Tribolium castaneum: one gene and its partners. The protein of the gene in region 1 purifies or fractionates together with the protein of each later gene. This does not show direct contact. Links are inferred from orthologs where the notes say so. Each region holds a gene or a part of one and is shown on either strand. Other genes may lie near its edges.

Region 1 (3,903 bases):
TTGAAGCCCGTGTAGTCTTCCTTGTTCGCAGTCCCAGGTTCGTTGTTGTTGCAAGTGGGCTCAACAGCGACTGAGTCAACAACCGAATTACTCGCATTATTGTCATGTAGAGGCTCATTTGAGATATCGCGTTTAGCAACTCGTTCCCGTTTTTGTTCCCTCCGAACTTCCCGTTTTTGTTCGCGCTCGCGTTCCCTATCTCGCGCCCGATCTGGCTCTTTATATCGCTTCCTCAAACGCTCTTTCCGCTCAGTTGTTGACTTGACGCTGGAAGCAAGAATGAATTTTTCCGCGATTGAGGGTGGAAACTTACTAGGGGAACTGAGATCGGCGGCTTGAAGGGCTTGCCTCATTCAGAGAACTTATATCGTCTCTCCTACGCACCGCTCGCTCGGAATTCCCCTAAAAAAAGTCGGGCCTTAATTATTCGAACAAAGGAAGCCGACCTAGACAGCTCTTGAGCTAGTATTGGAAAGCAATCATTACCTACCTATTTTACATTATTACATTATTAAACCTATCTAATTACGCAATCGTGTACAAAATTTCAAGATCAAGCAAAGATTTCGCTAGTCCAACACGCTGACAATAAAGATAACACGATTTATGATTATGAAGTTTCTCCTTAAAAAAAGATCAAAAATGACAAGTTTAACATATCTACTCACATTTTGCTGACTATTGTCGCTTTTCTCCTCCGGATTCGCCGAAGGTCTTTTGGCTGGTAAAATTGTCATTGTCTAATTTTTCAAAATACAGAAAATACTACAAAATTATTGAATTATTTTCTATAGTTTGACAAATCTCTCAACTACTGTCAACACACGACGAACAGCTGCTATCAACAGTCACCAGCGGGACTAAGTCCCCGGTTGGCAGCCCTGAATTTGAAACAACGCGCGAAATAAAACACACTCAAGCAGGCATCGAAAATTTTATTATGAAAAATTAAAGCAATACCAATAAGGCCGATAATAAATGAGGGTGGGCGATACATTTGTAATGAGATTTACACATGTAGTAGGACTATAATAAATATAAAAGATTATAAAATGTTGAAAGCTGATTCCAACAAATGTATAAAATAAACGTGCTTCAACACTGGCGTAGATGTTCGGGTGCGTGGTAGTGCTGTTGCGGATTCATTGGGTAGACCGGTGGCGGGAAACAACGTACATGTTCAACCGACAACTCGTCGTTCTCACTCGACTTCAAAAACTTGTTCAAAATCGCAAAGATCTGCGAATTGAGCACTTGGAAGCGCCTGATCCTGTCCACCATTCTCTTCAAGCTCTGGGAAAGACAATTATAGACCGAAAACAACCGTACAACCAACATACAATGCCTTTCACAATTTCATCCTTCATGTCAACTCTTTGTACTCTCAGAATGTGGTAACAGAAATCGAGGGCCTCAAACCGCCTTTGCTGGTCCAGAAGCACGATCATTGTACACCCCGCCCAATGCAAACCTTCGCCAAACATTTCCCTGAAACACGGAATAAATAAAACGAAACATAAAGTCGGTACCCACTCGACAGTATATTCGTTCTCGCTAACTGGAATACAATAGACGAATTGTAAAGCCGACCACAAGCGATGGAACTCGGTGCATTCGTCAACGTTCATGACACCGTTAGCAGGCGGCGGTCCGACCCAAACCGAATCGTCCAGGAAGGTCCTTAATCGGTTCAAAACAACTTCAAAAATCGAGAGACCGCAGCACAGCCGCTCACGGGTCAATAAATCGCCCTCCTTCGATATCAAAGATTGCTACAAATTGGCGAAATAACAAACAGTTGTTTGCACATTTATCCAACCTTTGCAGTTCCTAACTTCTCTATATTTGGTACAATCTGCAAGGCGGCATATTTGGCTTCAAGCCGTTTCTGCTTCGTTTCGGGCTTCTCCCCTTCCTTGCAAAACGGCCGTGGGAGGATATTCTGAAACGGTGCCGCTTGCAACAAATCACAGACTTCCTCCTGTGACAAGGCCTGTTCCATCAGTAAACAAAACAGGATAATGTTCCCAAATTCTCGGAAATTGTGGAACAACTCGGTCCTGGCATCGGGGTATTGGACAATGTCGTTCAATTGGGCGTGGTAGTAACTTAACACACCTAAAATTCGTCTTATTAATTCCGCCCAAATCAAGCAAATCATTACCCGGTGAGCCGTAATCGTAACGTGGCAATTTGCACTGCTTTGGCATGACCTCCATTAGAGTTTTGGTGAATTGGAGGAGGTTCCCTTGGATCAGACTTTTGACAATTTTGAGGAGCTCCTCCATCACAACTGCAATGCCTTGATAACCCAAGAGTTTGCACATTGTGTGGAAATGCTGAGGCCCGACGAACCCTAAACCGTACTAGTTAAACAAAATTAGGACCATAAGCTAGATTTACCGGAATATTGGCCATACTGAGTCGTGTAGGCAAGGTTCAGTTGCTTGCTCCCCCACATGTAATGATGCGACATTTGCGGCGGCTTATCTCTGTGGACAGCCCCCGCGAAAGCAATCTGCCCCCGATACTTAGTAAATCTGTTCGTCGCGGCATTGTAGACGTAATTAGGCAAGAAATCGTAGTTCAGCTCCCAAAACACATGCAAGGTGATGCGGCCATAGGGCGCCAAAACGTTGTGATTAGCCTCACGATACATTGAATCGAAATCGTCAAGTGCGAGCCACTTGCTCAGCAATTTATGACACAACCGATTCACTTGTAGGAGGCCTTCCAGTTCCATAACCCCGGTTATGTCACCGCCTTCGAACTTACTTATTGCCAAATCGAGACTTTTCTGCATGTCGGTGTTGATCCTCTGAGTGATCAACTTATTCAAATCGATCGACCGCCCTAATAACTGGACGTGCCGCTGTTTTAGCAAGGTTTCGTAACGATTTGCTCGCGGGTAGGGGAGCAGGTAAGCCCCCAAGGCGGCACACTCCACTCTGAAGCGCTTATCAAGAAAGATACTGAAAGGATTGATTGTGAAAGCGTTCCCATGATTTTTATCAATACCTTGCCGCCAGTTGTTTATAGTACGCGAAAATTTGCTCGCTCAGTTTATAAACAAACTGATCAAAACATAAATTAACTTCAGCCTCGACCTCATCGTATAAAAATTGCTTTCGGAATATTGTCAGTGCGTAAAGCGCGCTATCATTGTATAAATCAAGCGGGTACAAGACGTACTCCATCATCGAGGGTTCCTTAGTTTTCAAAATATGATCAGTCAAAATCCAAGGCATGGACATGTCGATTGGGAATTGTATGCGTTTTTCCATCGTGATCAAATCGTTACATTCTTCGTTATGAGCGTGACGCACGGTGCATTTCTATGAAAAGTTTGGCAAATTTTTGGCAAAATTACGCGTTACTCACGTTTATTCTCCGTCCCATGGTCATCTCGAGGTAGAACTCTCTGTACCACAGCTGCGACAGGTCGCAACATTGCTGCAACGATTCTGGGAGGAAATGAATTAATATCAATGTTTTTGTACGTACCACTGAAACTGAGAAGATAATTCCAGTAGAAGGAGGTTTTGTGGAACTGGTCAATTTGCATTAAATATTGACCGTCTATGTCCTTCCTCAGGGTTCTTTTGCCGCCTGATTTATCGGCAATTAGCGACTCCAGCATTGTCCTGACCATGTAAAGTTGGGTGGAGGAAGGACCCACGTTTCTCCTTGGCACTTTAACATTAAACCCGTTATCGTCCTTTTTGCCCCTCAAAGCCGGGTCTTGAGTCGGCTCGACACCTCTCTGCCAATCAGCGCAAGTTTCTCGCACCGACATAATGATACTAAAAAAACGTGTTACGTGATGTGGACACAAAAACGCGCTACCTTCTGATAAGATCCTTTTTATTTTTAATTGCTTTCCTCAGCGGTTCCCTCAAAATA
Region 2 (5,237 bases), on another chromosome or scaffold:
TTTACTCAATGTTATTAACCATTTGCAATGTCTATTTATTTTTTTCTACAGCCGTCAAAAAATCGTGACATTTATGCATGGTTACCTATGCGCGAAGTTTGACGTTTTTTCACTGTGAAAAAATATTATTTTTTCACGGTTTCACAGTGAAAAAATAATATTTTTTAACTGTGCAGGCAACTCGATTTTTCAGATCATTTTGTTCCAACTTATTTCTGTTACAATTTTAGTAACACGAAAAGACATCAACAGCAACCGAAATGAAGAGACGGATCGATAATGAGAGGTAGTTTTAAAGGTTTTATAATTATACAGAACAATATTACAAAACAATAATAATAGATATTTACTTTGACATATGAAAATTAAATGTGCATGACGAAAACGTGCCCCCGTTTATCCCCAGAGGCCTGAGTGAAGACGCTTGTAAATGAAAGTTATTTTCGCCATTAAAAGAAGCCGATGTAGAAGGTTGAGTGATTTTGTTTTCTTCTGTGGAGGAAGAAGGTTGAATTTTATTGGCAATTTCAATTTTATTATTCAAAGAGTCCTCGATGTAACTTTCTGCCACTGTGCTGCTTCTCCAGCCCCCATGACGTTTAATTGAAATTAGATCACCTCCAGCATTCGCCAAAAGAGTGGCAGAGCTTCTTCTGAAGCAGTGACCAGTATATTTTTTAGGTTCGTCTTTGTTAAGCCACTTTGCAATCAAACTTGGTATCTCTCCGATTTTGTTAATTCCAACATTTTGATTCACACATTTTCCGTTGGTATACTTTAAAAATAAACGGTCACTAGTCGCCCGTGGAGGCCGCAAAGCTCTATATTTTCTGACAATTTCTATATTTTCTAAATTTGAAACAGTAAATATTCGTTCGCAGTGGGTTTTTGTATCAGGCACCTTCACAATTAAGACAGACTGTTTATCTTCTATGTCAGTTAGCTTCATTTTAACTAATTCTTCACGTCGAAGGGCTCCCGATATACCCAAAATTAGCACAGTCTATAAATAAAACGAGTTGTTTTGATTTGTATTACACTAATATGATAAGTTTACCTTCATCAGTAAATATATCTTGTCATCTGCTTCATTAATAAACTTGCTAATGTCTTCTTTGTCTAAAATTTGCGACTTCTTGCTTCTGTAACCTACGCTTTTGCTTTTCAGGTAGGGCACTAACTTCGGAAACTTACGTGTATCGATATTCTCTTTAACGTTTAAGGTGGCTTTCAACATCGCATAAAGGGCCCAGAGTGTTGGTGGCTTTAAGGTGGTAGACTTTTCTTCCAAATACGCCAACAAAACATTTTCCGTTACTTGATCAATCTTTTTCATAGAACACCACTGCCGAAACTGAAGATACGTTTTTTCGTACTGCGGTCTTGATTTAGCAGGCAAAAGATTCGACACTGCCGCGCTTGCAATTGCATCTATTTCGTTTTCGCTGCTAAAATCCATCACACTTCTTCAACAAAAATACCTATTGTGACAAATTTTTCGCAACTATCACTTTTATTTATCATCGTAACCATGCAAGCAACTCGATTTATCAGACCATTTTGTTCCAACTAATTTCTGTTACTTTTTTCTTCATCTGGAGGCTGTAGAAAAAACGTTGTTTGTATTTCGTGGCGAAATTCATGTTTTAATGGCGCCTTCGAATGTCTTTTAGGTCTCGACCTGGCGGTCTCGACTAAAATAACATTCTCAGGCGCCATTAAAAAAACACTCATTTCGCGCACTTAATACAAAAATTACTATTATTTTATAAATATAATAATTTAAGAAAAACAGTTTTTTATTACATAACGTTGCCAACACAAAAATCCCCAGTACGTTCCGCACGCCACTGGTAATTCCCCCAAATAAACATCAAGTGTCGAGCAATGACACCCTCATTCGCACAAAAATGTATTAAAATGAGGGTTTTCCCTCGCACGCCCCAATTTTATTTATTTTATCCCCAAAGTGGCCGCAATATTGATTGACGCGACGCCGCTGCTGTTGGTGATTTTCGCTCCGTGGGTGTGGCAGTCCTGCTCAATCGTGTTTGTTGGGTGTACCGCTTCGCCATTTTCTGCGATATTTATTAAATTATCGCCGTTTTTAACGAAACAATTAGTGTCGTGTGTGCAAAAACATGTGTGGCAACGTTTGCGCCCCCCAGTGAGTGTCCCAGACCATGCCGAGGTAAGAAATGGGCGGAAATCTCGACTCCTGCTAGTTGGCCTTTCCCCTTTCTATTTGACATTTTCTGCGAGAAATTGCCCCAAAATCTGGCCGTTTGCGGTGTCTGTTCGCGTAATTGCGACAAATGACTTGACCTTGCAGCTTGTGTTTGCTCATATTTGTTAAATGGGGCGTATGTGGCCCCCTAATGACTCACTTCCTTGTTGGAGACAGTATTGATGAGAGCGAAGCCAGTTTGGGGCACTTCCTGCCACGCTTTAGTTTATTAATTGGCGGTTAATAACCTTCACAGATGTCTTTCGCACGTCATGCACTAATTTATTTATTTCCATAAAGCGGTAACATATGGTGACGAAAACGGGAAACAGAGATTTAACCTTTTTTCTTCAAGAAATGTTGAAACGGTTTAGTTTTCACTTCTGTAGCGGTGCGTTTCAAAGTTCAATTGGTGAACGATTGCATTTTTTAAACGGAATTGATGTAATCACGTGTGATTCTGTTAAAATTTAAAGGGCACTTATTATTAGAAATGAGAAATCCAATAATTGGATTGGTTGTCGTCATAGTTACTGATTTTTTCGTCCTTCAACCCCTAAAATAACAATAACACAAAGGTCTACTACATTTGGGAAAGGTGAAGGAATACTTAAAATTAAATCACGCTAATCAGTTATGATAATTGTTTACTAAAGTGAGAATTGTTAAAAATCGATGTTTCTGTAATAAATGAATTGAAAACAAAAAAACGAGGTCAAAAACGCAATTTTTTCTAACTAATTTGCAAAAAATCATTCATTTTACATTTAATGGTTATTTTATTATAAATACTGTATTTTTATATCGGCATAACGACATATTATTGATGACCTTCGATGGAAATGTGATATTCTTCTAATTAAATTTTAAATAACTATTTTCTCAAAAATTAGGATATTATTCAGTTTAGAACTTAAGGGAGTGGCTTCCCTGATAAAAATTTACGTCGAAATTCTCTCAAAAATGTACTGCTTTATCTAGTGTAAATACTTAAAACAGGAATAATACTCCCAAGGTCTGAAGTGTTAATAGTATTTTGATGAATCATGGTTGTAATATTTTTCAGGTGTATTTAGGTGTTCCATATTCATATCTACTCTACACACATGTCTTGTCACACAAGTTTTTATCACATCTAGGGAACAACCAATTGATTCATATTCTTTATGAGCATTTAAATGATTTCAAAACACTGCCAAAAGTTTTGAATGTAATCAACAGAAGAAATTGAAAATCGATTTTTGCAAAATTATTTTTCATTAAATAATACCACACCCCTTTTTTTATTTATTTGTCCCAATAAGTATGATTAAAGGATTAAAGCCATACACAAAATTTTTGCAAAATCTAATCTATTAGAAAGCGTCTAAATGAAACTGTAGTCAGGGGAGCCCTGAAAATTTTATGAACATCTTCTAATCTTCTGTAACTTACGTTAAATATTGATTATAACCAAATTTTTTCTGAAAAAATTAACATTAACATTTTATTTTTTGACGATTTTTTTTACAAAAATAAAATAGACAACCAAATTATTGTGTAATAAAACGATTAAAAAAGCAAGAATAACACTAATTATGACATATTTGATGCGTTCCACAATAAAAAACATCCCAAAAAGCAAAAAAAGTAATTTTCAAGTTAAATTATTCATTTTTTGACCCATTTCATTAGAAAAGCTGAATTTAGAAACGTTTTAAAAGCAAAGCACCCATTACAATTTTTGACTTGATTTCCAAATGTCTGTGATTTCTATTGACAAGATCTCACAAAAAAGCTAAGTGTTTAGCTTAAAAACGATCTAACATGCTAAAAGAATATGCGAACACTGATTTCGATCTGCAAAAATAGTCATTTTAGATTTAAATTTGTATTGTTTAGACCCGCTTTAGCAAAATCTTTGAAAAAAAACTAAATTTAGAAACGTTTCAAAACAAATATAACGAAATTTTCGATTTGGTTTCATTATTTTTCTGGTTTCTAGCGCAAAATCATTACGTTTTTTAATATGATTCATCTAAATCTTGCTCTAAAAAGATCCAAAACGCTAAAAAAAACAAACATTACACTAATTTTGAACTGTATCAATGATTTTTTGGCTTTATTTTGGAAATTTTGCAAAATAAAGCATTTCTATGTGAAAAACGCCGTAAAAAAGTGAAAATGGAATCATTTTCAAGATAATTTTGTGTTTTTTGGCCGGTTTCAGCAAAACCTTGCAAAATAAACGTTTCCAAACGTTTTAAAAACTCAAAAAAACAAAAATAAGACGATTTTTTTCTTTTTTTTTAATTTCCATGATTTATATTGGAAAGATATGCCAATTTTGAGGTGTTTTAAAGGCTTTTGGCTTATTTTTGACAAAATTTCGTTAATAATTGTTTTTCAGAGTTATTTCGGATTAAGTAACTAATCTTTTGAAACAATATGAATTTTTTGCCAAAAAACAAAAATCTAAAGTTTTCGAAAAAAAGCAAAAGTAACAAACTTTGACTTATTTTAATAATTTTGCGGTGTATTTTTGACGAAATCACATTAAAAAATGCGTTTCTGATTGAAAATAGTACTACTATTATGGTTTTACAAAATGTTCATTGTGAAACCGAAAGTGGTTTCACAAAGAAAACTTTTATGCAATTACTTTTAGTAGATAGTTCTGTTGGATGTGCTGGACTGGGTGTCATCAGTCATAACTGTAATTTAGTGTGTAATCTGTCTAAAGCGTCAAGTCGTTTATTGATAAAGCCTGAATAATTAACAACATTAAGAGGAAATAGTTTGAACAGATTTTGATAAATTCAACAAAAAAAAAACAAACAACAAAAATAGAAAGTAGAAAAAATAGTATATTACACTCCTTCGTCGTGCTCCAAAACCATTCGTGTCACAATAGGACGTCTTATAAAACTCGTATATACTGTTACAGTTTGCCACAGTTAAGCGATAAAGTTGCGGTTGAATTTAAATATCGATTTTTTCTTAACATTGTAAGAAATTAATTAAGGTAGGG
Region 3 (3,232 bases), on another chromosome or scaffold:
AAACCTCAACCATCAAAACATTAACACTTTTCTTCAAAATCTTCTTATTTTGTAACAGTTTCTCGAGTTTGTTTGCCGCATTTATGGCTTCGTCGTACAACAGGAGTTGCATACAACATTTTAGCAAAAGTACCCACGCGTGTACCAACCCGGGTAAAACCCCCACAACTTGCTCTAAAACATCTTTCGCTTCGATAATTTTTTTCTGTTCAACTAGTAAAATGCTTTGGGTGAATAGACCCGTAGCTGAAGGTGCCTCCAATTTAGAGAGACTTTCGCTGTAATTGGCCATGTTTTCGACCGATTCGATCAAAGTGCCGGACTCGACGTAAACCTCATTGAAAATCTTACAAATCCAACGCAAAGAAATCCAGTCTGATTCAAACATTTCGTGCATTTTTTTCGCCTGTTGTAATAATTCACCCGCTTTGTCTTGCTTATACAACAGGTTTAAATAATCGCTGAAATATTTCGTACATACGGTTTTTTGGTTGTTTAAGGCGAGTTTTAACGTTTCTTCGTACTAAAAAATTGGTTTAATTTGCAAAATTACGATTTAAAATCATACAATTGGGACCAAATCCGGTGCGAGATTTTCAATTTTTGATAAAATATTAATCAAACAAACTGCACATTCCGCACTGTCACACTTGCCCTCTTTCAGGACTGAAAAAATCGCTGTTACGATTTTAGCCAAGTCGCCGAATTCGCACAAATTTGCCAGTTTTTGGACACATTCGAGGATTTTTTTCTCGCCTCTGAAAAGGCTAATTATCTCATGCCAAATAATTTAAAATCAATTACGTTTCAATGCCAATTAGCGAAATGTAAGCATTAATTAAATCAAGTTTAGTTTCTTTAGTGTCGATTTTTTCGTAATAATTTATAAGACCGTTCCAAGCCAAGGGATTTGAAGGGTTTGCTTCGATTGCCTCCTGGAAAGCTTTCAAAGCTTTGGCGTTTTGACCGGTTTCCTGTAATGAGACTCCCAGGAAGACAAGGGCCATGTAATTGTTCTTTTCTTCTTTCAGTATTTGCTGCAAAAATACAATCGCACACACTAACAAACATAATTAAAGATAACGCTTATGCAACTAATTGCTACAAAGGTGCAGTCCAAAGAAAAAAAAGAAAAAAACAATGAATCAAACAATGATTGGATTCATCAGAAAATAGTGAACACATAAAAGTATTTTAAATTGCCAATGCTTTTATTAATTTTATTAAGTTAATTTCTACAAAAAAAAAACGGATAACTCCGACTATTTAGCAACAAAATTTCGAAATGATCGCAAATGATTATTTCAATTGGTAACAGATTTCAAAGTTTTTTTAGAAATTTGTAACCGGATAATTTTTAATTTTTAGTGTAAATTATGACAGTTTTACCAACCCCTACACCTTATAAATAATAAAAATTTCACCTACCTTGCATAGTTTCAAGGCAGTTTCATAATTCTTGTTTTTGATGGCATCTCGTGCCTCCTTCAACACTAATTTTGAGTCTTTCATGATTCACTCAAAACAATAACTTGTTTGGAAAAGCCTAACCTACAAATGCACTTTTTGCCACTTATTAGCTAGACTCGAAAATAACCAAAAGCGTACAAAACGAATCATTTGCACTTAGTATTTAATTAAAAAAAATATTTGTTTAATTAAATTACGAAAATAGCGAGCTTGTTTGAAACTTTTTCGAGGTTAGAGCATAGAATAAGAGAGAGGGTTAGAGTGTCAAGCAAAAACTGAAACTCCCTAAAAAGTAACCAACAATTTCGGTATTTTTGCGGAAATGGCTGCTCCTAGAGGAGAGACAGTCCCCAAGCCCATCCAACAAGACTGGGTAAACCGCGAATACATCGAAGTGATAACCGTCAGCATAAAAAAGATCACCGATTTCCTCAATTCTTTCGGTAAGTTTCCCCTTACTGTTGACACCTCGCAAAAATTATTTTTAGACTTATCTTGTCGATCAAAACTCGCCGTTTTAAACGAAAAGTTGACAACTCTCGAGCGAAAGATCGACTATTTGGAAGCTTGTGTAAGTCTCATTTACATAACACTGCGCTTTATTTACAAATAAACTGAAGGTCACCAAAGGGGAAACCTTGACATAAGATGCTCCTCACTCGCCTCAGCCACCTCCAAAGGCCGCTCATCCCCCACACGCGCACCCTCTTCCACTGGCTGAACATCGTCTTCAACCGCGTGGACGACGAACGACGGAAACAAGTGGGGCCTGACAGGTCTTGTGCCGAGTGGCTGTTGCGGAACGGGGCCCACGTCAAGTGGGAGCACTGCAACGAGTTTCTCACAGACTATAACAAACTGCCGAGCGACAGGATTAGGTTACACATCGTGGAAGTGAACGCGTCTGAAGCCAGCATAATGCACTACGGGTTTGACCATTTCGTGGGGTGCGAACACATCCGGAAAATCATTTTCCACAAGTGCTACTATCTGGAGAATGAGGCGTTGAAAGGGCTGTCGGTTTTAAAAAACTCATTACTTTATTTACAAATCACCGAGTGTTTGAATATAACAGAGCCGGGGCTGAGTCACCTCAACGCGTTGAATAACTTAAAAGAGCTGATTCTGGCCGATCTGCCGTACGTCAAAGAGAGGGAAAAAATCGTCGATAAATTACAGCACGGCCTGCCACATTGTACGATACAGTTCCATTAAATAATCAACCCTCGAGCTTTGCTTTCATTATCGTTGGCGAGGAGACAAGTCCGATCTGTTCCCCCGACTCCAACTGTTTCAATAGCCTGAACAAAGCGGCAGCTTCGCGAATGCGACTAAACTCGATACAAAACGCCTGAACTTCGATAAACAACTCCTGGACGTTGATTATTTTGTTGCGAATGAGCGACTGGAGAAACACACAAACCAGTCGAACCAGCCGATTTTGCATATAACGGTCCTTGATAGTCTCACAAGTCGATATGCAATTCGAAATGTACAAGTGGACAAACTCTGTGGGCAAATCCACGGTCGTTGTGAGCCGATTTACCACTTCCATGGAATGCAGCGACATTTCCATGTTGACAAGAACGCTGAAATATTCCGTTATTTGTTTCGATTGCATAAGCTTGAGCAAAACTTCAATCGCGATAAGTGGATTATTTTCCACCAGTTCGGGCAACTGCAAGCACTCAAATCAGCGAAAATCACCAAATTTCGATTCATACTTTGGACGGAGTCAAACCAATGTGGTACACAAGTTTTG

The links.
Region 2: the proteins of Cyfip (region 1) and SCAR purify together in Drosophila melanogaster (affinity purification with mass spectrometry; 3 studies listed by BioGRID, with this or other methods). This does not show direct contact. The link is inferred for Tribolium castaneum from reciprocal best matches to the Drosophila melanogaster genes Cyfip and SCAR.
Region 3: the proteins of Cyfip (region 1) and HSPC300 purify together in Drosophila melanogaster (affinity purification with western blotting; 4 studies listed by BioGRID). This does not show direct contact. The link is inferred for Tribolium castaneum from reciprocal best matches to the Drosophila melanogaster genes Cyfip and HSPC300.

What each region holds. Positions count from the first base shown.
Region 1 is NC_087403.1:2,183,993-2,187,895, reverse strand, and holds the end of Cyfip (cytoplasmic FMR1-interacting protein), read right to left. Parts: coding exon 3,847-3,903; intron 3,804-3,846; coding exon 3,505-3,803; intron 3,465-3,504; coding exon 3,382-3,464; intron 3,336-3,381; coding exon 3,019-3,335; intron 2,973-3,018; coding exon 2,404-2,972; intron 2,357-2,403; coding exon 2,165-2,356; intron 2,119-2,164; coding exon 1,820-2,118; intron 1,773-1,819; coding exon 1,534-1,772; intron 1,489-1,533; coding exon 1,341-1,488; intron 1,294-1,340; coding exon 1,096-1,293; 3' UTR 921-1,095; downstream 1-920. Other genes in the region: Duba (OTU domain-containing protein 5-A), read right to left, coding at 1-267, 314-402, 669-737. UniProt on the Drosophila melanogaster protein: Plays a role in guidance and morphology of central and peripheral axons and in synaptic morphology. Also required for formation of cell membrane protrusions and for bristle development.
Region 2 is NC_087399.1:10,151,102-10,156,338, reverse strand, and holds the start of SCAR (actin-binding protein WASF3), read left to right. Parts: upstream 1-2,031; 5' UTR 2,032-2,191; intron 2,192-5,237. Other genes in the region: uncharacterized protein LOC107398411, read right to left, coding at 347-1,003, 1,058-1,459.
Region 3 is NC_087396.1:20,957,533-20,960,764, reverse strand, and holds HSPC300 (probable protein BRICK1-B), read left to right. Parts: upstream 1-1,776; 5' UTR 1,777-1,792; coding exon 1,793-1,913; intron 1,914-1,958; coding exon 1,959-2,041; intron 2,042-2,090; coding exon 2,091-2,117; 3' UTR 2,118-2,118; downstream 2,119-3,232. Other genes in the region: superkiller complex protein 3, read right to left, coding at 1-523, 569-758, 805-1,037, 1,429-1,512; ATP synthase subunit s, mitochondrial, read left to right, coding at 2,119-2,685; Not11 (CCR4-NOT transcription complex subunit 11), read right to left, coding at 2,690-3,148, 3,195-3,232.